Canis lupus familiaris: one gene and its partners. The protein of the gene in region 1 binds, or shares a complex with, the protein of each later gene. Links are inferred from orthologs where the notes say so. Each region holds a gene or a part of one and is shown in the gene's direction. Other genes may lie near its edges.

Region 1 (10,045 bases):
GGCCTTACTCCAGTCCTCTATCCATCTGAAGACCTATATTCCTGGACCCTCCTCAATATGGGTCCTCCCATCTCAGCCCCATATCTTGCCCCAGTCCCCCCATCCAAGGCCCCTACCTGCCCCCCATAGCCCAGTCCCTCACTTGTCTGAGGTCCTTGTATCTCCGGAGGCCTCCCCTACTGCCTTCTCTTTCTTTTCCCTTTCCTTCTTCTCCGATGGGCTGCCCAGCATCTTCTGGCTTCCCCTGGACAGGATGGGTTTCACCTCTCTACCCTGGGCCCCCACTCTCAGGACCTCCATGGGAGTGGGGATCTGGGCCCCTGTGTCCCCCATCCCTAGCCCCAAGGAATTGTGCTGTGGCAAAGCCACAGAGAGCGTGTAGGACAGTGTGGTGGGCGGCCTCAGCTCCTTCCTCCCCACCCCTCCCTGGCAGTTTATCATCAGGGGGGTGGCATCTTGCTCTTGTGAGGGGCATGCCTGACTCCCCATCAGGCCCTTGTCAGAGCTCTTTAGGCTGCCCTTGCTCCCCACCAGGCTACGGAAAAAGCGGAACATGGAGGAGCGGCCCAAAATTCGGGATTGAGGGGTTGAAGCTGGGGTCTCCATCCTGAGGGACCCTGACTCCAAGGGAGGGGCCGTAGCAGCCACCTCCACCAACTGCTTAAGAACAGGAGGAGTTTCCAAATTAAAACCTCCAGTTGGAAACTTCCAGGAGTTCTAGAAGGCAAAGGTCAGATGGAGGGTGGGGGGGATGGGGAGGCTGGGAGGAAGACATGGTAGGGGGGATTAGCTGGGGGCAGAGAGGGAAGAGTCATGAGGCAGGGGAAGGAGGTATGAGGCAGTGGATTTGGGGTAGGCTCCAGGAGGCATGGGGGGTGGGGGGGCCGGTAGAGGAAGCTGGAGGTACCTGGACGGAGAAGGGGGCAGGGGCTCTTGGGGCCTCTGTACACACCCCTCTCTACCTGGCTTGTCCTTCCCTGGTCGGGGCTGCCCCTGCCCTTGAGAACCAGTCCCTACAGCTATCTGTCCTTCCTCTCTTCTCTCCTTGCAGCATCCACTGGCACGTGCCCAGGTGGTACCCAGACACCCCTGTTTTCATCTCTGTCTACCTGTCTGTCACCTTCAGGATTTTGAATCTCTGGAGACCACCAAGGTGCCTTGGGTACACATCTCAATTGCACGTGGAATCTCAATTTAGTGGTATTATTCCCCACGGCATCCACAGACTTGATTATAAATCCAGCTTAGTGACCTAGGGAGTTCCTTAAACCCGCTGAGTCTCAGTTTGTTCATCTGTAAAACAGGTGTAGTGGACAGAACCTACTTCCAGGGGTTACTGAAAAGATTCAGAGGGATAAGTGTCCCTCGCTAAAGTGCAAGGCACACTGTGGTGCTTAAGAAACTCTGCCATCCTGGCTTTTTTATTGGTACTGTTTGATGAAAGGGGGTGAAGATCAAAGGCCGGGACTGGGCATCAGGAGTGGGAGAGGGGAAGCCACACTGCCTGACCGGGGCCAAGTGTGGGGGGTGGAGCGCCTCCCCCACGTGAGAGCCTAGACCGACCCCCAAGCCACGGGCTCAGCATCCGCATCCGGCGGCCACACAGCAGCTTCCTCTAGGGGGAGCTGATCGGAGCCGGAGCAGCCGGCACCTCTAGGATCACCGCAGCACTAGGGCCACGCCGTGACAGGCTGAGGCTGCGTCCAGACTCCAGGACTCTCCTGACGCCTGTTCCTGGAAGCTGGGCCTGGGCACCCAGCCCCCGGGGAACAGCTGCTGGCCTCTCAGGATCTTTGGCCTCGGCCCTGTGAGCCATCCCAGGCCTGGGCTAGAGTCGGGCAGGTAAGGTAGGAGGGTCTTGCCCATCCTCGCAGCGTTCAGCAGCCCCAGACCCAGGAGTCTGCAGGCAGCCAGGTTGGGGTGGGGATGGGGGGGGTGGGGGGGAGGGTAGGTCTGGAGGCTTGCCTGGGCAGCCAACCCCTGCTGGGGCCGATCCAGGCAGGGCTCCCTCTGGCTGCCCCTCAGACAGTTTGCCCCCCCACCTGCCCACCCCCGAACCTGCCCTGGCTCTGGGCACCAAAGAACCGGGTCCTTTTGCAGTGGGGGCTGGAGGTGGAGTTGGGAATCAGAGGTCAGAGCCAAGGTCAAGGGCAGGGAGAGAACTCACATGATGCTTCTTTCTGCCCCAGGAGCCTCCCAAGCAGGCATCTCCCCCTAGGGAACATCTAGGCCTAGCAAGTGGAGAGCACTGGACTCCCCTTACCAGGAAGTCAGGCCTTTGGATGAGGGCAGGATGGCACAGGCCTCTGGCCCTGGGGGCTGCTCTGACACCCCTCCTACTTCCCAGCAGTGAGACCCTGGGCTAGGGGCAGTTGGAGTTGGTTGTGCAGTCAGCATCCTCCTGCCGGGGTGTCCTCGGGGTGCCACTTTTGTTTGGGGACAGGGGAGAGGGAAGGGCATCCTGTTCCGGAAGGAGCAGCAGGGGTGGGGGTGTGCCAAGCAATCTGCACTGGCTCCCAGGGCTGGAGGAGGGGAGGCCCTACCTTCTCCCTACCCCTGCCCCCAGTAAATGCTGGGGCGGAGAGCCCTCCACACCCCTTCCTGAGAACCCCTGCCTTGGGGCACTTTCAAAAATGGCCCCAGGCCTGAGAGGCAGGAGGTAGGCGGGGAGGGTGCTCTCAGGTCCTCCAAGAGGGGAGGAGGAGGTGGCAGTGCTTGGCCCAGGGTTGGACTACACCTTCCCCAGGGGTGGGAGGAGGAGCACTTCCCCAAAAGGCTGACAGAGGCAGCCTGGGGGGGGGGGGGGAGTTGGCTATGAAGGGGTGCAAATTGAAAGTGAAACAGCTCACGTCCAGGAAACACTCCCTTGGCCGAGGGTTCACAGAGCAGATCAGGGCTGTGGCCAGCACTGAGCAAAGAGGAAAACGGGGCTGGGGACAGGAGAGCAGGAGCAGGTATGTGGTAGGTGACCTGTGGGGTGGGCGGGGGGCAGCCGCAGAGAAGGCTTCCTTAGCTCACTGCAGGCAGGAATGGGGAGAGCACCGGTGGGCTGTACACAGGTCTCCTCGCCTTGAAAGGGTACCCCCTGAGGCCCACAAACTGGAAAATCAATCTTAAGTTAGAATTGAAGGTATGAGCTCCTGGAGGTTCCCATTACCGACCTGACTCCCTTGGGCCCCTCCCTAACTTCTTGGTCCCTCACTTCACCCCCTGTAGAATGGGTCTGCTGATGCTTACCTTGCTGAGTGGATGTACATTTTCAGTGTCTGGCACCCCTGGAGGAGTGGGAGAAGTAAGTAAGGCGAAGGTGCTCAGGAAATGTTCGTGGCTAACAGGCCTGAGTTGGAAATCAGGCATGCTCTGGCTGGCCAAGGGGAAGTGGGCCCTTCAAGCACAGCCTTCATGGGTCATTGGCTAGAAGGTGGCAATCCTGTGGTAAGCATGTGCTAGGTAGGGTGCAAGAGGCCCCAGGAGCAACAGAAAGAACCCTCGGCCTCTAAAACTCCCCTCATTTGCCCAGGAGTGAGGTGAATTATGACTTGAGAGCCACAAGGGCACTGCTGCTCTCACCCCTCCCCAGGGTCCTGGCTGCAGGCTCCGGGTCCCTAGATGTGAGTCCTGACTGCCCTGCCTTTCTCCCTCTCTTGAAGGACTGCTAGTGAAATGCTCAGGAAGTTCTGATTCTGCCAGCAGACTCCACAGGGACCCAAGGTGGTGAAATGAGAGGCGGCTACAGCTAGGGCCATGGGGTCTTCTAGGAGTGGGGGCCCCTCCTCCTTTCTCTGTGGCTGTGGGGCTGTGGGAATGTCTTGCAACAGCCCCAGCCCGTCTCCATCTCTGCTTTTTCTCACCCATCCCCACAGGCTGACCCAGTCCTCCACTGGGACCTGAGAAATGGCATCCGGGCAAGGCCCAGGGCCTCCCAGGCGGGAGTGTGGAGAGGCTGCCCCGTCTTCTACTTCTGGTAAGGGTCTCTCTGCCCCTCACCCATCCCATAACCACCAGGGCTGTCGGAGAGGATGGTGAGAGCAGAAGTGGACAGGGCCAGGCAGGACTTATAGGCAGGCTCTCCTGCCCTCTATTCACTCACCTGGGATAAAGGAGAAAAGCATCTCCCCACCCAGTGCAGGTGGGTGTGGGTGGCCTCAGAAGCTGGAGTACAGTCCAGGTTAATCCCTGGGAGTGGGGAAGAGTCTGGGCCTGGGGGCAGGGTGGGGCGTGGGGGGGCAGGGGCTAGGAGAGCCCCCAGAGTGAGTGTGAGGTGGGACACAGCACCATCCTAAGGAAAAAGGAGCAGGGAGGGGTGAGGAGAGGTGAGAAGAGTGGGGTGTGGCTCTCCTATTCCTACAGTAAGAGAAAGAAGGAAGTTCCTAGGCTTATCACCCTGTCAGGCGTGCTAACTGGCGAAAGCAATTGTTAGTGTTACGACTTTGGGGAGGAAGTACAATGGCTGCCCTTCTTCCCTCTTCCAAGGGGACCATCAGGGAAGCCTGCCATCCCCAGACCACTACAGACTGCTCTCTGGGTGTCGGGCTCAGGGCTCCGCTCGGTCACTATGTCCCTGCGTGACTTTTCTGGGCCCAAAAGCTACAATTTCAAATTTCGCCTTCCATACTCTCTGAGCCATAGGGCCAGGTACCATTGCACACTAAGCTCACACTAAAAATCCCACATGCCTGGGTTAGGCCCTGGTTACTCCGTGGCTCGCTCTGTGTGACCTCGTGCAGGTATGTAACACCGCAGGCCTCATCTTCCCCATCTGTACACTGGTGCTCACCTACTTTGCAAGGCTGTTGGGAGGCTCATCCCAAACAGAAATCGCTAGCTGTTAACGAAGGGCTGGAGCAGCTAGCACTGTCCTCCGTGGAAGACACAGGAGAGGCCGGCTGGGGCCTTCAGGAAGGGTGACCCATCCACAGAGCACGGGGCTGCCTGGTCCAGCCCTTCCTCCCTGACTCCTGGCTTTGATCCTTAGAGGAGCAGGTAGCCCGGGACACCGAGGAGGTTTTCCGCAGCTATGTTTTTTACCGCCATCGGCAGGAGCAGGAGGCTGAGGGGGCGGCTGTGCCAGCTGACCCAGAAATGGTCACCTTGCCCCTAGAACCTAGCAGGTGAGCAACAGCCCCCCGGGCCCTCTGGGACATCTTCGGGGAGATGGAGGCTCGTATGGGGTCAATGCCCTGCAGGTCGGGGAGCTGGGGAGGCCTTGGGTGGGGGTCCGGGGGTTCCTGTCCTTCTGCCATCATTGCCTTTTTCATTTGGGCTTCCACCTCCATGTGGGACCTTGCGCCCTTCATGGCAGCATGTGTGCCCCATGACCCCAGGCTGGGCCTGAGAACACGGTTAGGAATCTCCAAGGAGGGGTCCACGAGGCCGGAGGCATCTTAGGTGGAACCCCTTCTCCGTGAGCCCAGGCCCCAGCCTTGCCTGCCCTGTGCTCACCTACCTGGCTCCCATTCCTCCAGCACCATGGGGCAGGTGGGTCGGCAGCTCGCTATCATTGGGGACGACATCAACCAGCGCTATGACTCGGAGTTCCAGGCCATGCTGCAGCACCTACAGCCGACAGCAGAGAATGCCTATGAGTACTTCACCAAGATTGCCTCGAGGTAGCCCCAGCCCTGGCCTCTCTACTGTGCTGTCGCCTTCACACGGTGTCCTGCCCATGGGTTGGAAGAGACACGCTTCTCTGTCAGTGTCAAGAGACACCTGTGCCATTCCCGTACCTGCTGTTAGCTCACGCATGGTGTTGGGCCCCTGTCTCTCTCTCTCTCTGGGCCCAGACTCGTCATCTTCAGTGTATAAGCTCACAGCTTCTGTGAGCTGAGGCACCGAGGACTTGACGGGATAGATCAGGACTCGAGAGGTGCCCAGGATCAGGATGTCCCCAGAGCTTCCCAGCCTCGCCGAGACACAGCTATCCTTCCAGTTTGGAATCATATTCCCTACCAAAGACAGGCTGCTTGTGTCCTGGAAATGACTTCCCCTTTACTACCATCTGGTGTCTGAGAGGCAGTCTGCTGTAGTTGACCACATGCCTGGGTCAAATCTCGGCTTTGCCACTTACGGGCTTTGTGAAACCCTCTGGCCCTCAGACACCGTGTCTATAAAATAGAGGAAGTAGGCTTAGAACAGTGGCTGTACTTACTGGTGTCATCTATTGTGAGATCTGGGTTAGGAGTCAGCCTCAAGGTGACTGACGCTGCGGTGAAGGTAGGGGTAGGCAATAGATTTAGGGTTAGTGCTCAGAGCTGGAACATCATGCCCCGTCCTTCGAAGCCACACCTGCCCCTCTCGGATTCCAGGACCTATCCTAACTTCCTCTTTGTCCTTCTCTCTCTGCTGTCTCTCGGGCTGCCAGGCCAGCAGCAACACCCACAGGTAATCTCCCCGCTGCCTCCGTCTGCTTGCTCTGCCCTCCCTGCTCTCTGCCCCTCTATGCTCCCCACGGCACTGGGGCCACAATCCAGCAGCAGCGCCCTGCTCCTCTGCCCTCTGAGTTTTTCTCCTTTCACAGAGATGCAGGCTCTTCCCAAACTCAGGCCAGGCTGGGGCAGCCTCTGCCACCCTGATTACAGCTAAGCCATTTTGCTTTCCAGCTGGGAGCAGGGCGGGTGGGTACCAGATGGTGGGAGAGGAAGAGCAGGCCACGGGCCCTCCGGGGGTCTCCACTGACAGTATCACCATTCTGTCTGCAGCCTATTTGAGAGCGGCATCAACTGGGGCCGAGTGGTGGCTCTCCTGGGCTTTGGCTACCGCCTGGCCCTGCATGTCTACCAACGCGGCCTGACCGGCTTCCTGGGCCAGGTGACCCGCTTCGTGGCCGACTTCATGCTGCATCATTGCATTGCCCGGTGGATCGCGCAGAGGGGTGGCTGGGTAGGTGCCCAAGCACTGGCTACCTCCTCCCTGCTACTGGGACACCTCTCTCTCCCAGCTCTGCCCCAGCCCTGGAGTGCCTATATTTTCTGTCAGCCCCACTGTGACCACTCTGTCTCTCCTGGCAGGTGGCAGCCCTGAACTTGGGAAACGGCCCCATCCTGAACGTGCTGATAGTGCTGTCTGTGGTTCTGTTGGGCCAGTTTGTGGTACGAAGATTCTTCAAATCATGACTCCCAGAGGGGCCCTTTGGGTCCTAGCTGACACCTCTGCCTGGACTTCAGCCAAGCCTTCTCCCTCACCCCCTCCCCAGCAGGGGCCCTCCTCAAGATTACAGAAGCTTTAGCAAGTGTGCACTCCAGTTTGAGAGGGTCCCTGCCCAGGGTCAGTCAGGCTGCCAGGGGTGCCCCAACATTGCATGGTGCTAATGGGTCCCCTCTCTGGGCCCCATCCTGTCAGAGACAGGCTGTATCCTTCTTCCTCAGCTCTCTGGGGCTCTCTCCACCCTATCTTTGGGTACTGGGGAGACTGACAACTTGGGGAAGCAAGAGGCTGAGAGTCACTTTCCCCCAAATTTTTAACAGTTATAGCTTTTTTATAATGCCCTTGGAAGGACCCTCCCCACCATACCCACCACTCTGTCTAAGCCAGGATGTCTGAGGTGTGGGGGGTTAGTAGGCCACTCTATATTCCGTAGGACTCAGCTGTTCTAGAAGGCCAGAGCATGACTACTGGGCCTGGAGCCCAGTCCTGGCACTTCCTAAGCTCTCCCCCCTGCTCTCCCACTGCCCCCACCTCATACTGCCTTTGCAGCAGACTCTCAGGGATTCTGGGTCTGGGTGGGATGAGGATGGCATGGGGGTGCAGACCAGAGCTGTCACAACTTCATCAGCACCCCCTAAGTCTGCCTCCTGAGATCCTCAGTGTTCTTCCTTCCTCTCACCTATTACCATTTAAACCCGACCTATTCACTACAAGTGAAGCCCACCCTGGCCCTATCACTTCAAACAAGGAAGGAGGGGTCTTGGATAAGTGGAGTGCTGAGGTCCCCTTCTTGCCCAGACTGTAGAGTTTAGAACTGGTTTGCTATTGTCAGGGAAAGAGGGTAAGGAGCTCATCTGGAGGTTTCTGAGTGAGAAAAGGGCTGTTAATGTCCCTAGGAACCCCAGGGTTGGGATCCTCCCTTGTGGCCTGGGCACAGTGTAATCTGGGGGTGTGGATGGAAAAACTGAATACTTGAACTCGACCCCCCAACCCCCCACTTTTCACACTCCTCACCTGCCTAAGCCCCTTCTGTGAGTGGGGGTGGAAATACCTTGTCTATCTTGCACAGCCTACAGGTCTGGGGGAAAGGAGAGAGAAGTTCATGATTAAGCCAAATGCAGGGAGCGGATGCAGATGGAGCCCGCTGACCAGCCCCCACCCTCTGAGTGTGTCTGAAAATAAACTGTAATCCCCTGATTCCATATGCTAATTTCTGTATCCCCTGCTACCCCTCACTCCACCAGGCTGGACTAGGAGAACCCAGGCATGCCTGGCATTCACCCGGGTTATTACTGAATTAGAGCTCATTATTAGGCCTCCACAAACCTGTAGAAGGCTGGGTATGATTCTCCCAGGCCCTAGCTCCCTACAAGGCCTTGGTCCCTCCCCAGGCACCTCCCTCATCTCTTGTGTCCCAGGCAAGTTTCCCACCCCTTAGGAAATTAGGGTGCTGGGCTCTGTCTGTGGACCTGGTAGGGCAGTTGCATGTCTGGGGACTCCTAGAGGCCTCCGCCAGGCCTGATTTTAATGCCGCTCCCCGGGGCCACTATCCATCCTGGCCCAATAGACCCTTCTCCCTCACACCTGGCTCTCCCTGGGACACAGTGTCTCAGTCCCCTATTCCCCATGTCCCCCACAACTAGCACACGTAAACACACACACACACACACACAGGGCTTTTTGTTCCAGGAATTTTGTGCTGCATCCCAGTCCCTATGGGAAGGCAACGAGGGGTGATAAAAATAACAAGCACGGGGGCGTTCAAATGTTCCTACTAAGTCTTTCCAGTCCTGGGCATCCCGGTCTGTGTTTCTGACACCCTTCCAAAATGGTCACATGCAAGTCCTAAAGGGCTTAGGGGCTTCACCTTCACTGCTTGAGGGCATCTTGCAGTCCCCTCTCCCTTTGGACTCGGGTCTTACCAAAGTCCACTACACACTTCCCTCGTGGAGATCCCCCCCCAACAGTGGTGGCTACAAGGCACCCTGCAATCTGCAGGAAAAGCTCCTAGACGACCTACAGGGAACACACTCCATGCCAGGCCATGTGCTGAGAATTTATCATACACGCCCAATCAGTAAGTATTAGAATCAGTGACCTGAGGGGTTGGGAGGTGAGGCTGAGGCTTAAACTCCAACTTTACAGATAAAGGAAACTGAGGTACCTGCCCAGAGTCACCAGGTAGAAGGGGCAGGAGCCGGCACTTGCCCCCTCGATACTGGCTCGAAGTTTTACGTAGAGGCCGGCCAGGTGGGGACGAGGCCGTCGGTCTCCAGCACAAGACCGCCAAGCCTCAAGAGAGGCCGGGTGGCGACTCGCCTCTCCGTGCACCCGCTCGCAGCCGCGGCGCCACCGCCCCAGGAAGGCGGAGACCGCGAAGGTGGGCGGGCTGCCAGGATCCAAGATGGCCGCTGCCGCCCCAAGCACGCCAGCGTGCCCTCTGGTGGGCGGGGCCTCAGGTGCACCTGCCCCGCCGGCCCCGCGGGGTTTTGAGAACCGCTTGAGGGCGTTTCTAGCGCTAGAAGGAAGGCGGGCGGGCAGCGGCAGGGGCTGTGGCTTTCTCTGTCCCTGTAAGGGAAGAGTTGGAACTTCCTCCTGAAGGCGTGGGGAGCCCCAAAATGTTTGGCCTGAGTCTACCCGGACCCCCACCACTCCGCCCTTTGCCCTGCCTGGATGAAGTTTCCAAAACCGAAATCTCAGCGCATTCCGGGGCTGCCGGAAGCGAGACGTGAGAAGTTGGGAGGCACAGAGAAAGGCAGAGGTCCTGCGGGTGCAGGGGAGCAGATGGATTCTGCGGGTTTTAAGGAAGTTAAAGTCTCAAAATTCTGGTTCTTCTGAAATTGTAGCTTCTTTCCATCAAAGAGGTCTAGATTCCTGTCTGTGGGGGCACTGCACGGGGACA
Region 2 (9,289 bases), about 2.5 Mb from region 1:
CTGGCTCGTTATATTAGATTCCTATTGCTGCTATAACAAAATACCACAAACTCGGAGGTTTGGGGGAAATGTGAATTAATCATCCTCCAGTTCTGGCAGTGAGAAGTCCACAAGCAGTCTCAAGGGCTAAAAGCAAGTTGCTGGCAAGGCCGTGTCCTTCTGGAGGCCCTGGGGTAGTTGCAGACCGGCTGTGACATCTGGGGCATGACCTCCTATGGTTTAGTTCCCTCCTCTGGAACATGAGGACAAAGATAGCCCTTCCTCCCAGATGGTTGAGGAATTTAAATGAGACAATAGCATTGGGGGTTGATGGTCACTCACACGAATGGGCAGGGTGGGTCGGAGCATGGGTCGGCATGTTAGCCCACCTGTACATCTCTGGGAGGTATCCTGTAAGGGAGCTGTTTGTTTTGTTTGTAGTGCAATGGATCATCCACGGGGACCCAAGAAGCCTCCGTCGGGGAGGAGAGCCAGGTCTCTGGAGAGGTCACACAGCCCCAAGAAGGACTCAGAGTCATGGAACTGCAAGGGCCATTCCCTGCCCATGTCCACTCCCCCCTCCAAGAGGGTGCTTCACCAGACGGCCAGTGATGGGACCAGATGTCCCCAGAGCCCAGCTCATGGCCATGGTGTCCTGAGCCTGGAGGAGACCAAGAAGTTTCTCTCCAGTGACCAGAGGCCTCCGCAGGACACCAAGAAGGACAAGACCCAGAAGCGGGGCCAGCAGGGGTGGCTGAAGACCATCATAAACTTCTTTCTGAGGACAGGCCCTGAGGAGCCCAAAGACAAGGCCAGCCGGAAGGCAAAGGGGAAAGAAGGCCTCCCCAAGTCTGCAGAAACCCCGGAAGCACCAGGGGACACAGCTCCCAGGAAGAAAGCCCACGACAAGAAGGCCAGCCGCAAGAAACACAGTCACAAGAAACATGCTGCTGAAGAAACCAAGGGGGCCCAAGATCATGAGGCCGAAGGCCAAGAGACAGGGCTGCCCAACCTGGCTGCTACCCCATGCTCCAAGGAGGCTGACCGGGGCCCAGCACCCAAGGGTGAGCAGACCGTGCCTGGTAACCCCCTGCCCCACCCTCAAGGGCTATGGTCCTCTAAGCGGGCTCTTCAAACCTCTCAACAGAAGGGACGTGGAAGGTGGGGCGACCATCAGGCACAGCTCCACTGTGAAATGTCTTCTAGGCAGAACAGCACCATGGCAGAAAGCCTGCGGTCAAGGCCCATTTCCACCACTGTTTTCTTTTCATCCATAAAATGGGGGTAATAGTTGCTCTCCGCTGGGATAGCTGTGGCCCGGAGCTGGCCCATGGTCCGCACATGGTGGCTGTTGTTGTTAAGTACTCTAGTTGAAGGAGCAAAGACCAGGGAGAAACGGGAAGGCAGGGAGAGCGGTGAGGAGGGGAGCCCTGCCCCAGACATCGATCCATCTGTGTGGACCATGGGTGCGGCCAGAGACGTGGAAAGAGCCAGCTGCCCAGTGCCAGTCCCACACTTGGCTGTGTCAGGAATAAACTTGCTCTGTGACCTTGGGCAAGTTACGGCCCTTCTCTGGGACCTTTGATTCCTCATTTCTAAAACAAGGAAGCTGGTCCCCAAGGTGCCTTTCTTTTCTGACTCTTATGTCTGGAGTTGAATACACTATAGGCACCTGGAGGTAGAGCACTCAAAACTCACCATGGGGTTTTTGGGTTTTTTTTGAGATTTTATTTATTTATTTGTTTATTTAGAGAGCATACATGAGTGAAGGGAGGGGCAGAAGAAGAGAGAGAGAGAGAGAGAATCTCAAGCAGACTTCGCACTGAGCGTGCAGCCTGACACAGGGCTCGATCCCATGATCCCAGGACCCTGAGATCATGACCTGATTCCAATCATGACGTGAGCCCAAACCAAGAGTCAGACACTCAACTGACTGAGCTACCCAGATGACCCCAAACTCACCATGTTTTTCATAAGGAGAAGGAATGCCTGGGTTGAAATGGAAACCTTGGCAGGTTTCTCATTTTTTGTTTTTGGTTAAGCCTGGAGCTGGCTACATCAGTGTCTGTCTCTCTGCAAATTCTGTCATTTTATTGTGTTCGTGAGCAAAGTCAGAAGAACGTCCCTGACACCCCCTGATCTCCCCTCAACCCATACACTTATTTCCATCTTTCTTCCAGGTGGGGAAGGTTCTGATCTTCCCCAGTCCTTGTGCATTGAGGATGGGGTTCCTGGAGCAGCAGAAATTTCTCCTCAAGCCACAGGTCACCGGTGGGGAGAAGACCTCAAAAACACTGACAGTGAGTCAGAATCTACAGTGTCCTCTTTCTCTGCAGTGGGGGTGGCCGATACCAAATGATTATAATGCATTGTTCTGGATGACTGCTTGGACCTTGGATGGTCCTCTCAAGATCATGTACAGATCTTGTTCCTTCTGGGGCTTCTGGTCACATTTACTTATTTTAGAGTTTCACAGAAGGGAGTCTCAGGAATTAGAACGGCCACTGGCAAATGTTCCTGCCTTATGTGTTAATGAGCATGAGACTTTTTAAAGTCTTTTTCAATTTAGAGAAGGAGTGTGGAATAGAAGAGTATAGATTGTATATACATTGTTAAATATATGGAAGAGTGGAAGAGTTCTACAGATACTCATATATTCACAATTGTTGATGTAGGCCACCATTTGCTTCATAAATGTGTGTGTGTGTTTAATTTTGTTGCTGAGCCATTTTCAGTAAAATGATCCTTCATCCTTAAATACTTAAGCACGTCTCTCCAAGAAATGAGTACAGTCTCATGCACAACCACAATACTGTTATTGCCCTTAATAAAATCAATAGTGAATGCTCTATGAATCTAATTCCCTATAATGAATGGGCACATTTTAAAAGATATAAAACATCTCTGCATTTGTCAAACAATAACTAAAAGGCATCTAGTTGGCTATTCTGCAGGCTGTTTATTTTACACGTAAATTGTTTTGTTTTTGTTTTTTTAAGATTTTATTTATCTATTCATGAGAGACACAGAGAGAGGCAGAGACATAGGCAGAGGGAGAAGCAGGCTCCCCATGGGGAGCCTGATGTGGCACTCGATCCCAGGACCTGAGCCAAAGGCAGACGCTCAACCACTGAGCTACCCAGGTGCCCCTCGAATTGGCTTTTTCACATGAGAGGAAATTGGCTGGTTGACTGAGTCAAAATGTGCAGACAGCCCGGGGCTGGGGGAGTCTTGTTTACACCTTCTTTCATGTAAACCGGTCAGGTGACAGCTAGCAGAAGCTACTCTGAGCATACCGTCTTTGGGTCGGTTGATGAGGGTATCAATGAAAACCATTTATGTTGTTTGTGGTTTCTCCGTAAAGACTTGGTGTGCTAGAGGTGTCCACCTGTCAGGCTGTCTGTGTTACATCTGCTGGAGTCTCTCCATTCTCTACTTTAATTAGGCTGAGCCTCCACAATTTTCCCCACTGGAACTTTGCAGGTGGGAAGATTGGTATTAGGCTCCTAAATTATTTCCAAGCACAGTTCCTTAATGGCCTGATAGCCAACTGAGGGAATTGGGACCGGGATTACGATTCACACTTCACAGAGAGATGAAGGCCCAGAGAGGTTAAGAGATTTACTCAAGGTCATACAGCTTGCCAAACCCAAAGCAGGTACTTACAAATCTGTAAAGGCCAAAGGAAATAGGGGGTATAGGTTGAAGCTTGACCTGAGATTGCCTGCCTAAAATTGCATGCTTTGGCCTACTGCCCTTTCCTGTGGCTCTCCAGAGTCTCTCTAGAAGGATTAGCTCCTGGGACACGGTGCTTTTCCCCATGTCCGTGGGCCATGGACCTGTTTTAAGAGCTCTGTCTCTCTCTCTCGTTTTTTTTAAAGCTCTGTCTCTTAATACAGGACTAAGTTGATCCCAGAAGTCCAAGACAGTCATTAGAAAGGGGTCTCTATGCACATGGAAAGACTAACTGGGTGCATTCACTTTCTTCCAGAGGATACAATCATCAAGATGATAGTGGAATTTCTCCAAAGAGTGGGAGACCAGTGGGAGGAAGAGGTAAGGAGCAAAGGGCCTGTGTAAACCCCCATCGGCTTGACCTCAACCCTCCTCCTCCTGTCCCTACTCCCCTCTCCTCCTCCTCCTCCATGCTCAAACCCTGTCTGCCCTTCCAGGCTTCAGTGCTCCCCGGCTCTGGGCTCTCTCACCTCCCTTACCTGGGGCCACCCCGAAGCACCTGGCTGCTCTTTGGTTGCTTCTCGAGGAGCTTTCCCTCTCCTCAAGGTCAGGGCCTGACTCAGTTTCCCTCATCTCTCCCACAGCAGCTTCAAGCTCCTCAGCTGGTGTTGGTGTCGCAGAACCCAGCGCCAGCTGTCAGGAAGAAATCCCAAGAGAAAAAGTCTAACTTCAAGAGAGCCTTTTCTCACAAGAAACATAGCTCGGAGGAGCCTAAGAGAGCGGGGCCTGGAGAGGTCTCCAGCCCAGAGTCCCGGCCACTCAAGAGGCCCAGCTTTCTGCCCCTGTGTGTGGGGGGCCATCAGCCCTCCACCTCTAGCAGCCCTGGTGAGCAGACTCAGAGTCACCATAGCAACACTGCAGCTGCTTCCAGTTCTGGAACCTTCTCCAGGGCTGGAATTGGCCGTTTGAAGGGCTGCCATCCCAGTTCTGACTTTTGTTCTGCTCCAAGCAGTGTGGGGAGGGCAGTGGGAGGAGAAAGATCACCTCCACACGCGAGACCTCACTGCCCAGGCAATCGAGCTAAGCCCACAGCAGACACTGTTGAGGGATCCCTTAGCCATTCACATCTCTCCATCATCCAGCTTCTCTACCCTGGCAGGGGGTAGCATGTGCAGGAAGGAACCACGGCCTGGGAAGCAGGGCACCTGAACTCTGAGCTACGCTTTCTACATCATTCGCCATCCCTGTGCCTGCCTCAGGCTCCTCACCTATAAAATAAGATACTTCCGTACTGCGTGTCTATACTCGATCAGTGTTCATAGCCATATTGTTATCCCCATTTTATAGATGAGGGAACTGAGGCCTGAGGAGGTAAAACAATGTGTTTCAGGGTCACATGGCCCACCAGTGTTGGAAACTGAGCCAGAGAGAAAGGATCATCCTGGGTGGCGGGGAAGAAGAGCCTAGCCCAGCCGCTTGGCCTGGCTGGGGGAATTTAGATTTTAAAAAGGAGGGGCAATGCTTCACACCAAATATGAGCCCCAGTGGCAGAATTGCAGGTCACAGGGGCAGGTGGCCTCATGCAGGGGGTTTCTGGCCCTGCTGGGATAATTCACACTACGGAATCAGGCCTTTCTTCTCCAAGCCAAGATGCTGGAGGAGGGATGAGGTTATCAGGGGAGGGAGGAGAGGAGGGCAGAGCCCAGGAAAACTGGTTGTTAGGAAGTACAGCGGGATAAGGGAGGCAGGTCTGGGCCCGTGCACGGAAGCCTTGACCCTGACCCACCGCTCACCTCTGCTGCATCAAGACCTTTGCACATTCTAGCCACAGAGTGAACTTTGGAACCTCTGCTAACTTCTGCATGTGAGTCAACACCTTCACATTGATGAAACACACCCACCCTTTCTTCTTGCTTCTCAGGCTTGGAGGAACATAACATACAAGAGGCCGCATCCACAGACAGTGGGGGTCCAAGTCCCTTCCAGCTTTCCTCCCAAGCAGGAGGTCAGGAACCAGAAGAGGACGTGCAGACCAACACAGCCTTGGAATTCAGTTAGTACCCTCTCCTCTTCTTAGAGGCCTGTTGGAAATTATCTGATCCGACCCTTCTACATGTAGAAGAGAAACGGACCCAGAGAGAGACAGTGACGGGGCCTTGACTTCCTCCGAGCACAGCAGGCAGGGGCAGTGTGGCGTCCGGGGCACTCAGCATAGTTAATAAGCTGCCGAGAGCTAATTAATGTTAGCTGCCCTTTGTTGTTGTTATTGGTGTGGCCATGGAGCCCAGCTTGAGGACAGGGCCTCAGCAGAGGTCCAGAGGGAAGGACAGAGGCAGGGGCTCTGGGGGAGTTCAACAGGTGGCCGGCTGCCAGCATGCTTACTGTTTCCTTGCCATCGGCAGGGCCAAGGATGGGGTCGTACGATCACTGTCAGTTCTGTGCGTCTGGAGACGGTTTAAAGATCCCCTTCCCCCACACACCCCTCCTGCTTGTTTGCTCTTCACAGAAAATGTGCCTTGAAGGGGAATTGAGAAGGCCCCTGTTCTAAGTAGAAGAGGAGGGCGGTGCTGGGCGAGGGGACCAGGCCTTTCCAAATGGCCTCGAGGCACCTTCTCCTGGAGGCAGGGGCTCACCATGTAACGTGGCACCTATAGGCGCTCACTGACCAACGAAGAAATGAACATATTCCCAGGGCACCAGCTCTGCTCAGGCCACTTCTGAGGAATCTACCGGTGTCCTCAGGGCCCGGCCTGGGACACCGGACAAGGGCAAGCTCATGAGCAGCCTGGAGACCGGTCAGATTCACCCAGGGAGCCACTTGGGCCTTAGGAAGTGAGGACAGACCATAGATAAGCTTTTCTCTACCCTCGAGTGCAAGCCACCGTTTTGTTCTTTTTTAGAAGAATTCATCCAGGAGATCATTGCCCTACTCCCGGATGCAGAGGAGCAGTGGGGAGTGAAGGTGAGGCCGACGTTCCCAACCCTTGCTGGGGACACCCCCACCCCTGCCTGCCATAATAACTTCGCTGCCCCTCCCCCAATTCTCCATCTTTCCAGAGCCCACCTCCAAGCCTTCCGCCTTCCCGAAGCCAGCTTCCCCGACCCCCATGGCTTCAGGCCACACTCGCGCTGGCCAGGCTGCACCTGCACCCTCTGGTCTACACGGGGTCTCTGTGTGTTTCAGGGGGGGCTGGTCTCTTTCCCCAGCTTGCTTGCAATCTCCTCAAGGTCGGGGGCCCTGACTCAGTTTCCCTCATCTCCCCCACAGCAGCTTCAAGTCCAGGAACCAGAGGTGGCTGTAGAAAACCTGTCCCTACCCTACAGAAGGAAATCCCATGAGAAAAAGAGCAGCTTCAGAAAAGCCTTTTCACATAAGAAACATGGCTCCAAGGACCAGAAGAGAGCTGGGGCTGCAGGTGCCACCAGCCCAGAGTCCCGGCCGCACAGGAGGCCCAGCTTTCTGCCCCTGTGTGTGGGAGGCCATCAGCCCTCCACCTCCAGCAGCCTTGGTGAGCAGCCCCAGCATCACCATGGCAACAGAGGCTGCCTCTGGCCCCGGGCTTCCTTCAGAGCAGGCTAGGCCAGCTGTGTGACCTCTGCTTCAAGCTTGATTCCACTCTCTGGCTCTCTGCTCCAATGAGGTGGGGAGGTGTGGGAGGGCTGTCGAGAGAGGGGGTGCTGATTGCCAGCTGGACCCACCACCCACGATGCCAGCCTTCCCTTCCCCCACCCACAAACACACAAATACTTAAAATCAAATGCAGTCGGAGAGCAGTGCATGGGTTCATCAGCTGGGTGCATCTGACTCACCCGAAAGCTAATAGAAAACCACAGAGACCTGGGTGTGATGAAGTAGGATATGGCCAGGGCCTCTGCTTTTTTACTCCTCCGAAGCATGAGGTATACAGTGATTCCCTTGACATGTATGGAGGGCCCACTACATGCTACTGTCCCACATGTTATCTCACTTAAGCCACTTATAACCGGTGAAGTCAGTCTTGGTATTTCCATTTGACAGATGGAGAAAGTGAGGTTCACACAGGGGAAGTGACTTGGCAAAGCCTCACAGAGCAAAGGGGATGTGGGCTCATCTGGTGGGATCTGTGGACAGGCCTGCTCTGTTTCCTCCTGCATTGTGAGGAGGGAGGCAGAGGGGGCTGGTGGCAGAAAATAAGAATATTTCTGGAGGGGGTAGAGAAGGCTCTGTGAATGCCTTTGAGGTGGGCGCTGGAGGTCTGGGGGCTCCCTGAGGAGCCCAGGGAAGCAGGACCCCTCTGGGGCCAGTGCCTTTGGACAGCTTCTTGTCAGAACCTGGACCTGGATATGCTTGTGGATTTGAGACAGGTGCAAAACATGCTCACACCATCTCCTTTCTGCCCTCAGATCTGGACGGCGTCGAGTTCCGGGAGTCCTTGCCCACCGAAGGGGCACCTGTTAAGCCCTCAGATGCACCCTCCCAGACCAGAGGCCATAAGCCAGAGGAGGGACCACAGCCAGATGAAGTGTTCGAATCTAGTTAGTACCACCCTACTCTCTCCCGGGGCGGCTGCTGTGGGGTTTCTGTTTGCATGGGCCTCAGAGGGTGACTTCGAGTAGGGTCTGGGAGGGCTACTGACAAACACCCCAGGAGACTCTAGCAGGCTGGGGAGGAGGCAGCCTTGGCCTTTCAACTGGGGCTCCTGGGGCCAAGTTGCAGGTGAGAACACCTGTCTTTCTGTGGGATGTAAATTCACCCACCCTGCTCCACTGGTTTGCTCGAATGTTTCATATAAAATTCCCGGCTTGCTCTGGGTCTCATAACCAGTGGTGTTCTGGCAAACAGAATGAGGGTGGGTGTGGTGGGGGAGCCCCGATATGTAGCTTTTGCAGATTTCCGTGGTGTAAGTGTCTCCACCATGGCTGATTTCAAGCTGCCAACTGTTGATGATGAAAGGTCTGCAAATATTCAGAATATTTGCCATTGGGTCTTGGTAGGATCAGACAAACGCATGTGGCCATTTACAGCCCCGCCTGGTGGACGCGATCTTGTTACATCCATGGCTGTGGCGTCTCCCCCTCCCTGCTTTCTAATTAGCTGCTCCTGGTCTCAACTCCCATTCGTGACCATGCTACTCTATAGCCTGGATAGGAGACATTGGGTGATCTCAGTTTCCACATTTGTAAAAATGGAGCTGAGGTGAGGCTCGACTGGCCAAAGTCTTTTCAATTCCTATAAACAAACTCAAATAAAGCTCTCATGCTCCAGCCCTAGTTTTGGAGAAGATTTTTCTTTGCCCTTCAAAACTCATCTGTGTACTGTGTTTTAGAGACAAAATACCGTCTGTAGTGGGAGGGTGTGTTGTTGCAGAACTTGTCAATGGCCTCTGAATCGTTCTTTATTTTCTGTAGAGGAGATGATCATTCAGAGGCTGGCGGACCTTCTCCAGGAAGTGGATGGCCAGTTAGGGGAGCAGGTAAGGACTACTCAGTACCCCCAAGGCTGGCCCCGGAGGCCTCATCAACCCACAACTCAGGCCTGAATTCAATCCCCATCTCTACATCCAGGTGACCTTGGGCATGTCCCTTAAACTCTCTGAGTCTTGGTTTTCTCTTTTGCAAAATGGGGGGTATATACCTACTTGACAAAGTTTAGTGC
Region 3 (10,052 bases), about 2.6 Mb from region 1:
TTACCTTTTATTTTTTGCTAGAGAGTAGAACTTGGCTGCAAAGTTCTACAAGCAGGAGAAGCGGACTGGGTGTCTTATTTTCAGTTTCAGACTTAATTCCTCTTTTTTTTTTTAAGATTTTATTTATTTATTCATGAGAGACAGAGAAAAGGCAGAGACACAGGCAGAGACATAGGCAGAGGGAGAAGCAGGCACCACCCAGGTACCCCTTATTTCTTCTTTTTTCAGTGAGATATCTCACTCTCTGATCTATGCCTCATGCTGCCACATCTAGAACTCATCTGGTTTACTTTCTCCAGAGGTGACATTTCCTGTCTCCTGTGAAAGTAAAAGCAGTAGCCTGATATTATCAGGTAGAATGGGGATGTGAGGATCTGTCTGCTTATTAAACAGATTTTTAAACAAATCTCCCTTTTCTGCATTACACTTCTCCCATTTTTCACTCTAGCTTCCTTCCTGCACTTTACCTACTTACAGTTTGTGAGTCTTTTCTAGGGTTCCTCAGGGTGACCTGCCTTGCTTCTCCTTGGTTTCTCCTCTAACCACTTCAGCTTGACCTTCCTTGAGTCTGCTAAGTGCTTCACCATCCTCGATCCATTTTTCATTTTCGTGTATTGTGGTTTGGGGTGACTACCAGTTCAATAAAGATGAAATCTGTTTTCTCTTTTTCCTCCTTGTTATTTTTAAGAAAAGTGGTATGGGGAAGTTCTCAGCTATCTTGAATTGAAAGGCTCCACTGTTTTTATTTTTAGTTCTTCAAGTCCCATGAAGTCTTTACTGCCTTTGGGCTTTTGCATGTGGTACTCTAGCTCTCTGAGACTTTCTTTTTCCCTCTCTCCTCTTCCCTCTTGGCCAATTCCAAGTCATCTTTTAGATCATAGCTTAAACATCATTCCTAGATGAGTCCTGTCTGACGACCCAGACTAGGTTAGTCCACTCCCTATATTTTCATATCACCTACCATGATTCTAATTAAGTGTATATATCTGCCTCCCCTGCTAGATTGTTACCTCCATGAGGGAAGGGAGTATTTCTGTCTTGATGACTGCTATATCCCCAGTGGGTAGCCCTAGCATTTAGTAGGGCTAAATATATATATTTCATTGTTGATCAACATATATTACTCATTATAAAGATTTTTAGCTAGGGGCACCAGGCTGGCTCAGTCCATAGAACATGTGACTCTTGATCTTGGAATTGTGAGTTCAATCAAGCCCCATGTTGGGTGTAGAGATTACTTTTAAAAAAGTAGCTGGATTTACAGTTGCTACCACCAATAAGTTATTTAGAGTTTAACAATCTTAGTTACAGTGATTGTCTAGTTATTATTATAGAAACACTATCAAATGGACTCTTGTCCATCTCCAAACTTATTTTACACGAACGCTTTTAAGATGATAATGTACTGATAGTAATATCCATTCAGATGAGCATAGTGTATAAGTTTTCTATTTCTCATTTTGCCACATAAGGTAAAATATCCACACATCCAATTAGGATGTGAACATCTTTGGGGGGACCATTATTAAGTCTAGCACACAAGACAGTAAAATGTAAATGCATACATGAATTAGTTATTGCAAGAAATGATAAGAACTTTGTTCATATATAAACTTTATATCAGAACAACTTCCAGAGTAGGTGACATAATTTATTTATTTATTTATTTATTTTTAAAAGATTTATTTATGATAGACAGAGAGAGAGAGAGAAGCAGAGACACAGGCAGAGGGAGAAGCAGGCTCCATCCCGGGAGCCTGACGTGGGATTCGATCCCGGGTCTCCAGGATCGTGCCCCGGGCCAAAGGCAGGCGCTAAACCGCTGCGCCACCCAGGGATCCCGATGACATAATTTATTAAGTGAAAAATATCATAAATATATATTGAAAGAAGACAAGCATAAACCAAAGATTATTAAATAGACAACATACATCATCAGCTCAGTAGTTGCCTTGCTTCCATGTGCATATCCACTATAATGCTTTCATGAAACCTGGGATTTCCTGCTGTTTTCAGGTACACACACCGTTTCCTAAAGGCAATTATATAATTATACAAACAACTATATATAACAGCATAGTGCTTTTCTTACATATGTCTAAAAATAAATTTTAGATGAAAAATATAATTAGCAATGATTTTTTTTCAATAAATACCTCTTAATATCCTGCAAAATTCCCAAAAAGTTTCCCAAAAAGTTTGGGAAAAATTATAAAACAACCTATTTGGGAAAAACCAATTCTAACATTCTCAATTGTTTATTTTAAACATTATATGGTCTCATTCATTTGGGGAATATAAAAATTAGTGAAAGGGAATAAAGGGAAAGGAGAGAAAATGAGTGAAAATATCAGTGAGGGTGACAAAACATGAGAGACACCTAACTCTGGGAAATGAACAAGGGGTAGTGGAAGGGGAGGTGGGCGGGGGGTTGGGGTGACTGGGTGATGGGCACTGAGGGGGGCACTTGGCGGGATGAGCACTGGGTGTTATGCTATATGTTGGCAAATTGAACTCCAATAAAAAAAATTAAAAAAATAAAAGACCATGGTTAGATATTTTATTCTGTTATCTAGCAATGTCATATGAGTACATAGTATAAGATGACAATGGGCTTATGGGAGGCTATCAGTTGGCTCTTTCAGATAGGAACCTCATTCTGGGGGTGCCTGAGTGGCTCAGTCGGTTAAGCAGTTGAGCATCTGCCTTTGGCTCAGGTTGTGATCCTGGTGGGTTCTGGGATCAAGCTGAGCCTGGCATAAGGCTCTCTTCTCAGTGGGGAGCCTGCTTCTCCTTCTCCGGTTGCCTCTCCCCTCTCATGCTCTCTCTCTCTCTCAAATAAATAAATAAAATCTTAAAAAAAGAGAAGAACCTCACTCTGTAACTGTATCTTGACTGTCAACTTTGACTATTTACTAATACTTAATATTAGTAAACTAATATTTAATATTTAATAATTCTATTCAGGGCTAATTTGGCTGTGATGCATTACCTAGAGAGCATGTCCTTTTTTGCAATGTAAAGTTTACTTGAGAAATCAAATTAGGATCAGAAGGTTGCCTGATGCATATAGTTAAAATGTCAAGCTGTTAAAATAGGTGAAGGGGATTAAGAAGCACAAATTTTCAGTGATAAAATAAAGAAGTCACAGGGATTTAAAAAAGAAAACAAAACAACTATCAAGCTGCCCAAGGTACCAAAAATCAAAAATGCCCAGGCACTCACAACCCTTCAACCCACAGCTCCCCTTTCCCTAATCTGGCTCAAATTATAAAAATCAAAATATTCATGTAGCATTCTGCATTGGAAAATGTAGTATATTTGAAAAATAATGAGTCAGAATTCTACTTGCTGATTCCCACCCCCTCTTGGTTTGCAAGATAACTGCTTATTACTTTTCTCTCAGTCATTTCTTTTTAGTTCTTGTTTCTTTGTCTAAAGCTGCAATGCAGCCACTAGCCACGTGTAGCTACTGAGTACCGGAAATGTGGCTGAGTCCAAATTGAGATGTATTGTAAGTGTAAAAGACATACTGGATTTTGAAGACGTACATTAACAAGAATGTAAGATATTTCATTAATAATTTTTTATACTGATTACTTATTAGAATGATAATATCTGGATTTATTTTGGGATATATTTGGGTAAATAAAATATATCATTAAAATTACTTTTACATGATTCTTTTTACTTGCTTAGTGTAGCTGCTAGAAACCTTAAAATTACATATCTGAGTCACAAATTTGTATTGGGTAGCACTGATCTAAGACTCCTGAAGTTTTCTCCTGTTACTTTTTTTTGTTGTTCTTTATTGTCTGACTGCTCTTAACCATTCCTTCCCTTTCAGTAACTGCTTAGATTTAGAAGGTAAACTAGAAAGTGAAACTCTGTGGCCAACCTTTAAGTCAAGAGAATTAAAGGCACTGGTAAACAATGAAAAGTCTCAGTTCAATTCTTCAATGTATTGGGTTGGTGCTACAGTATTAGAAAAAGGTGGGACAGGAGAATAGTCTTCATTAGTGTTTGTAGAGATGGACTTTGTGTATGTGGAGACATAAAGAGATAATACAAAATCATACATACACAAGGAAGTAGGACAAAAATGTATTTCATCTCCAACCCTCCCCATCTCTATGATTTTAATCTATTTTCTTTTTGGTGATGTTAATACGTCTGCCTTTTTCTATGCATACTTATTTAGACTGCTCTGTTGGTAGAACGTGGCTATTGAAGAAAAACTGCTTGGAGATGAGGATGTGGGGTGGTGTTGCAGATCTAAAGACCAACAGCATAGGTCTTAAAGATGTTTATCTAAGTTGAAAAAAGACCTTAATTACCCTGTTCCATTTTCCACTCTAAACCATAACCCTTAGATATGTAGAATAAAGGCTGCTTGTATTGTGAGAACACCAATATTCATCAAACATACTGAATATATACTGATGGGGGAAATTCTCTGAAGATATATTTTTCAACAGGGAAAAAACATGAAGAAAAAACATGATACCATTGTTTGTGAACCTAAAGAACTTCTGAATCCCTCTCCCAAAGTAACAAATTGTTGCAAATCCCTGTGGGTGAAATACAGTTTTCAGAAGGAGTACATGACCCGACTTGTCAGCTCCCAGCCAGTTTCAGCCATGTCAAGGAACCCAGGTAAGATATTATTTGTGTTAAGCTAAGATAAATATTCTATCTAGCACATATTTTGCTTGGTATTGAGGACATAAAATTGGGCCTTAAATAGATTATTTAAACATTAACTGTAAGAAGATAGTGGTAAATCTATTCATCAATGTTCTTCGGTGGTAAAAATCTAAAGCTGACTTTGCCTCATGATACTAAATCTCTTAGTGTCTATTAGCTCTGAATTGTTGATGTGACAACTCATTCAGATGACCCCAAATTAACTAAAATAGATCATATTTGTCTTTTAATACAAATTCGTCTTTAACTTGACCTGACAATGTCCATGTTAAGTAGGGAAAATACACTTTAGGTTCCTCTTTGATTTTGCCAATATAGGAAAGAACATGAAGGAAAGATAAGCTTGAATTATTGTTTTACAAAAATTTGCACGCTTACTAAATGTCCCTGAATGTTGGAAAATTAAAGCCTTATGTTGTGAAGGATATTAGGATCAGGTGTTAAATTTATGTTTTTTTTTCTTAGACTTTTAGATTAAGAATATGCTAAACACCTGAGAGGAATAATCAAAGCTAATTTCAGACTATTCTCCATTTTAAAAAGAAGTATAAGCCACTGAGAAAGTGGCAATTTCAGGCATCCTGATAGTCTCTTGCCACCATATCAAATAGGGTAGCTATCTTCTAGAAAGACCCGAATTGACTGAAATACTGAATTTTGGTATGTGCAGGTGTCAACAATGATTGCCTAAAGCCTGAGACTGTCACCTGTGAATACCTTCTAGAACATGTTTGAGATGTAACCCCGTACACCATAAAGTTTAACCTCTTAAAGGGCAGAATCCAGTGGTTTTCAGCATATTCATAAGGCTGCGCAATCGCAATCACTGTTCTGGAACTAATGTTGTAAACTTTTCCTGGTACGTTTTCACACTCAGCGAAACCATTGGATCCTCACAGATTCCTCCTCGGGCCCCTTCCGAGGTGCCCCATGGGAGGCTGGTCCAAATGCTTTCCTAATTAGTCTCGCCTCAAACGCAGAAGCAGGGTGAAAACCAAAGCCCCTCCGCTTGATGTACGGGGTGACCGCCAACAACCAGTCGACGTGTTTGTTTTCGCTCTGTATGTAAAGCCTTACTCGGGACTGGTCTTTTTTTTTTTTTTTTTTTTTAAGATTTTATTTACTAATTCATGAGAGAGAGAGAGAGAGAGAGAGGCAGAGACACAGGCAGAGGGAGAAGCAGGCTCCTCGCAGGGAGCCCGACGCGGGACTCGATCCGGGTCTCCAGGATCGCGCCCCGGGCCGAGGGCGGCGCCGACCCGCTGGGCCCCCCGGGCGGGCCAGCGGCGAGCGTCCAGGGGCTGGGATCCGGCACGAGCCTCCCGCTTCTTTCCCACCCGCTTCCCGGCCCAGGAGGCTGCCGCGCGCTTCTCCCTTTGCCTTTGGGGGGCATGTAGGTGCGCGCAGACTGAGGGCGGCGCTGTGAGAGGGCCGCGGAGGTGTCCGGACGGCGTCAGGAGCGCCGAGCCGCAGGGTGAGGGGAGGCGCCGGCCGGAGCCCTGCGGACACGCAGCCCACGTCTCCCGCTCGCCGCCAGGGGCCCGGAGAGCGCGCGGGCCGCCGGGAGCGCGGTGCGCGCCCCTCATTGGCCACAGCGGGTCCACGTGACCTGGCTCGCAGCGCCGCGGGAGAGCGCGGCTGGGCCACCGCCATTTGCAGGGGCTGGTGGGGTCGCGGGAGGTCGCTCCGAGGGCCTGCGGAAGCTGTCTCGCTGGGAACCTTAACAAGAACGAGAACAAAAGAACCAAAAAACGCCTTAAGTACTGCTCAACGTAAAACCCCTATGAGGAAGCTGATTCTGGAAAGGTCTCCTTTCCCCCTCTTTTGGCTTTTGGACACAGACTGGAAGTGGAAATCACCAGTCGTTATGCAGTGTGAAGCCCACATCTGTTTCTCTTGTTACTTTTGGGAAATAGACACGTTTGAACGTTGAACTCCTCGGAGAAAGAAAACAATTATTTAAAAAAGATTTTATTTATGAGAGACACAGAGAGAGGCAGGCTCCCTGCAGGGAGCCCAACATGGGGCTCGCTCCCGAGTCCCCAGGATCACACCCTGGGCCGAAGGCCAGCGCCAAGCCGCTGAGCCACCCAGGGGTCCCCAAGGAAGCAATTTTTGTGAGGGGAACTTAACCACTTTTTCTTGGAAAAGTTGAGGGGATGCGGAGGATCTTGGGAAGTCCAGGGCATCCCCTCTGGGCATCCCCTCCCCTTGGGAGGTCCTGATAAGTCATTTAAGGGAAATGAGAAACTCTTGGGGAAACAATTAGTAAAAACAAAATAGGGCTTTTCCACTTATAAAAAGTGCAATAATTACTGGTAGGGGAGGGCAGCATGACGTAAGTGTGTGTCTAGGTATAAATGAGATAAGTGGATTGTATAAGTCTAGTCCAGTTATTCAGCCTCTTTCTCCTTTGAGAGTGCTTGGGTGCTCATTTTTGCTTCTCCTAAGTCTCATCAACTCCCTCTTCCTCTAGGTGGACGCATTTTCTTATTTTATTCATTCAAAAAAAAAAATTGCTAGGGCCTACTGAATTCCAGATGCCATGCTACATACTGGGATGACAGTGATGAACAAAAACATTAACAGTGCCTTCCACCCCGGAGCGTACTGTGTGGTAAAGGAGGCAGATAGTAGTCAATTAAACATAGTAATGTTCAATATGATGGGATTAGTGCTAAGAAGAGGTCCAGGTGCTATAATGGGTCTTTGACCTAGCAGAGAGATTAGAGAAGGCTTCGCTCAAGATGTAACCCAGGCCTGAGAACCTGAAGGAGTTAAGGACAGTGGGAGTTGCAGGCGGAGGGAGCAGCTTGGCCAAGGGAGAGCTGATAGCCTCTCCCCTTCCAGTGACTGCCCCTCTCACTCCTTTCCACCACATATAAATTAATCTTGCTTCCAAGTTATCAAAGACACTTTTATCATTCAATTGTTAAGTTCTTAGGGAGTGACTCATAACCTATAATTATTGTTATAGACAATGTATGTACAGTAGGTAAGTATACACTATACACATCTAGGGATGCCTAGGTGGCTCAGTGGTTCAGCATCTGCCTTCAGTTTAGGGCCTGATACTAGAGTTCCCTGATAGAATCCCACCCACAACAGGTTCCCCTCAGGGACCCTGCTTCTCTCTCTGCCTGTGTCTCTGCCTCTCTCTCTGTATCTCTCATGAATAAATAAAATCTTAAAAATCAATATATGCGTCTAATATACATTATCATCTCTTGTTTTATATAATAAAAACATGCAATGATTATAACCATTTAGAATATGCTATATCTCAACAGAACTAAAAGCACTACAGGAATTCAAAGTGGTAAGAGAACACAGTCTTTTGGAAGATTCAAAAAATACATCTTGAGAAAGTAATTTTTGAGATGTGATTCAAAGGTAAGATTTGGTCAAACAGGATAAGAAGGCTGGATGGATGAATTGAGATGTGATCTAAGCGCCTTGAAAACCAGTCCAAAGAGTTTATAGAAACTAAATAGAAATGTTTTATTTCACTTTTAAGGACTTTCCTGAGATATTTTTTCCTTTCCAGTGTTTACCTTGGAAAATTTAAAATCTACAAAAGAGTTGCATAAATAAGTCTATGGTTAGTCATATACCTTTTACATGGATTTACCATTTTTGGGGGGGAGGTGGCACATTTACTTTATCTTTTTATCTCTCTCTACATTCACACATACTCGTGAATGGATGTACAGATGTTTTTCTTTGCTACAAAGAGAGTTAGATAAAGTAGATATACTAACTTCATCTCTAAATAATTCTATCTCTAAATTTATCTCCCAAGAACAAAGATTTTTCTGCATAACCGCAGTACAATTATGACATTCATGAGGTATTTTTTATTTTTTTATTTTTTAAAGATTTTTAAAAATGTATTCATGAGAGACGCAGAGAGAAAGAGAGAGAGAGAGAGATAGGGAGAGATAGGCAGAGACACAGGCAGAGGAAGAAACAGGCTCCTCACAGGGAGCCTGATGCAGAACTTGATCCCGGGACTCCAGGATCATGCCCTGAGCTGAAGGCAGACACTTAACTGCTGAGCCACGCAGGCATCCCTGAGATATTTTTTAAATTAAAATTTGAGTATTCACATTAACATATCAATAATAAATGAGTTACTAATTTTAAATAGCATGCAACAATGACTGAGACATTAAGTGCTATACAAGTGTTTGCTTATAAAAACACATTTTCATGAGTGGAAAACCAAAGAATATGAAAATTTTGGCATATGGTGAAAAGTCTTACATTCTTGTTCCCTGTCTGTTCAGTTGCCACTCTCAGCACTTCTTATTATAGGCAACCATTGTTCTTGATTTTGGGACATTCTTCTAGAGGTTCTTTATGTAAATATGAATAATTGTGAGTATAGATTTTTATACTCCCTTTTTAGAGAAAAGGTAGCATACAAAGCACATTGTCTTTGTTTTCTCACTTAACAATATGATTTGGAGATCTTTCTGCATTAATACAGTGTTATTTACAAGGCATAATATTCCATTGTGTGAATATAACATAATTTATTTAAATAGTTTACTCTTGATATACATTTCGGTTGTTTCCAATCATTTACTATTGACACGAATGCTACAATAAATAATCTTTTTTTTTTTTTTAAGGAATCCAACTTGGTTTCCTTTTTTTTTTTTTAAAATTTTATTTATTTATGATAGTCACAGAGAGAGAGAGAGAGGCAGAGACATAGGCAGAGAGAAGCAGGCTCCATGCACCGGGAGCCTGATGTGGGATTCGATCCCGGGTCTCCAGGATCGCGCCCCGGGCCAAAGGCAGGTGCCAAACCACTGCGCCACCCAGGGATCCCTACAACAAATAATCTTGAACATATTTGCATTTGTAAAATTTGACAGATACATTGCCCCCTACAGAAGTTGTTCCAGTTTCATTCCCATCAACTGTGGGAGTATCTTCAGGCTTTTGATAAAGTTGTATGCCAAGAGGCAATAATATGTGAATGTGAATTATTGTTGATGTTGTACAAGTTTAAATGAAATATTTGTCTTCAAGAGAAACTAAAAGGTAGGGCTGTTCTTAGATAAACTTATAGAATAGCCAATGTTTTTTCGTCTAACCCTATGTTCTGTCCCATTCTCTCCACTCCCTTTATGCAACCGCATCTTTAGAATCATAATCGATAATATCTGTTGGATACCTTCTATGTGTAGGGCATTGAGCAAGATTCCAGAGTTATGAAATAGAATCCTCAAGGAATTCACTGTTCAGTTGATCAGACATGCACAAAATATGAATAGTTATTATGTTGAGTTCCAGAATGCAAAACACATCTCTGGCTTTGGCACACTCAATCC

Evidence for each region.
Region 2: the proteins of BAK1 (region 1) and BNIP5 are in contact, whole or in part, in a crystal structure (PDB 8IGC), measured with the Homo sapiens proteins. The link is inferred for Canis lupus familiaris from reciprocal best matches to the Homo sapiens genes BAK1 and BNIP5. Residues at the interface, in NP_001179.1 of Homo sapiens: Leu78, Ile81, Gly82, Ile85, Tyr89, Glu92, Phe93, Met96, His99, Leu100, Tyr110, Lys113, Ile114, Ser117, Leu118, Ser121, Asn124, Trp125, Gly126, Arg127, Val129, Ala130, Phe134, Ala180, Leu183; in NP_001010903.3 of Homo sapiens: Ile246, Ile247, Gln248, Met249, Ile250, Val251, Leu253, Leu254, Lys255, Arg256, Val257, Gly258, Asp259, Gln260, Trp261, Glu262, Glu264, Gln265, Ser266.
Region 3: the proteins of BAK1 (region 1) and PXT1 are in contact, whole or in part, in a crystal structure (PDB 8GSV), measured with the Homo sapiens proteins. The link is inferred for Canis lupus familiaris from reciprocal best matches to the Homo sapiens genes BAK1 and PXT1. Residues at the interface, in NP_001179.1 of Homo sapiens: Ile81, Gly82, Asp84, Ile85, Asn86, Arg88, Tyr89, Glu92, Phe93, Met96, Leu97, His99, Leu100, Tyr110, Lys113, Ile114, Ser117, Leu118, Glu120, Ser121, Asn124, Trp125, Gly126, Arg127, Val129, Ala130, Phe134, Asn182; in NP_694535.2 of Homo sapiens: Ile78, Ile79, His80, Lys81, Leu82, Ala83, Met84, Gln85, Leu86, Arg87, His88, Ile89, Gly90, Asp91, Asn92, Ile93, Asp94, Arg96, Met97.

The regions. Positions count from the first base shown.
Region 1 is NC_049233.1:3,126,829-3,136,873, reverse strand, and holds BAK1 (bcl-2 homologous antagonist/killer), read left to right. Parts: upstream 1-3,883; 5' UTR 3,884-3,894; coding exon 3,895-3,964; intron 3,965-4,975; coding exon 4,976-5,111; intron 5,112-5,446; coding exon of another isoform or gene 5,447-5,465; coding exon 5,466-5,609; intron 5,610-6,698; coding exon 6,699-6,879; intron 6,880-7,007; coding exon 7,008-7,112; 3' UTR 7,113-7,122; downstream 7,123-10,045. Other genes in the region: gametogenetin-binding protein 1-like, read right to left, coding at 143-606. UniProt on the Homo sapiens protein: Plays a role in the mitochondrial apoptotic process. Upon arrival of cell death signals, promotes mitochondrial outer membrane (MOM) permeabilization by oligomerizing to form pores within the MOM.
Region 2 is NC_049233.1:5,612,989-5,622,277, reverse strand, and holds part of BNIP5 (protein BNIP5), read left to right. Parts: intron 1-420; 5' UTR 421-424; coding exon 425-1,043; intron 1,044-2,159; coding exon 2,160-2,279; intron 2,280-3,970; coding exon 3,971-4,035; intron 4,036-4,298; coding exon 4,299-4,539; intron 4,540-5,575; coding exon 5,576-5,707; intron 5,708-6,554; coding exon 6,555-6,616; intron 6,617-6,922; coding exon 6,923-7,163; intron 7,164-8,037; coding exon 8,038-8,169; intron 8,170-9,042; coding exon 9,043-9,107; intron 9,108-9,289.
Region 3 is NC_049233.1:5,706,338-5,716,389, reverse strand, and holds the start of PXT1 (peroxisomal testis-specific protein 1), read left to right. Parts: upstream 1-3,426; 5' UTR 3,427-3,563; intron 3,564-4,478; 5' UTR 4,479-4,487; coding exon 4,488-4,656; intron 4,657-10,052.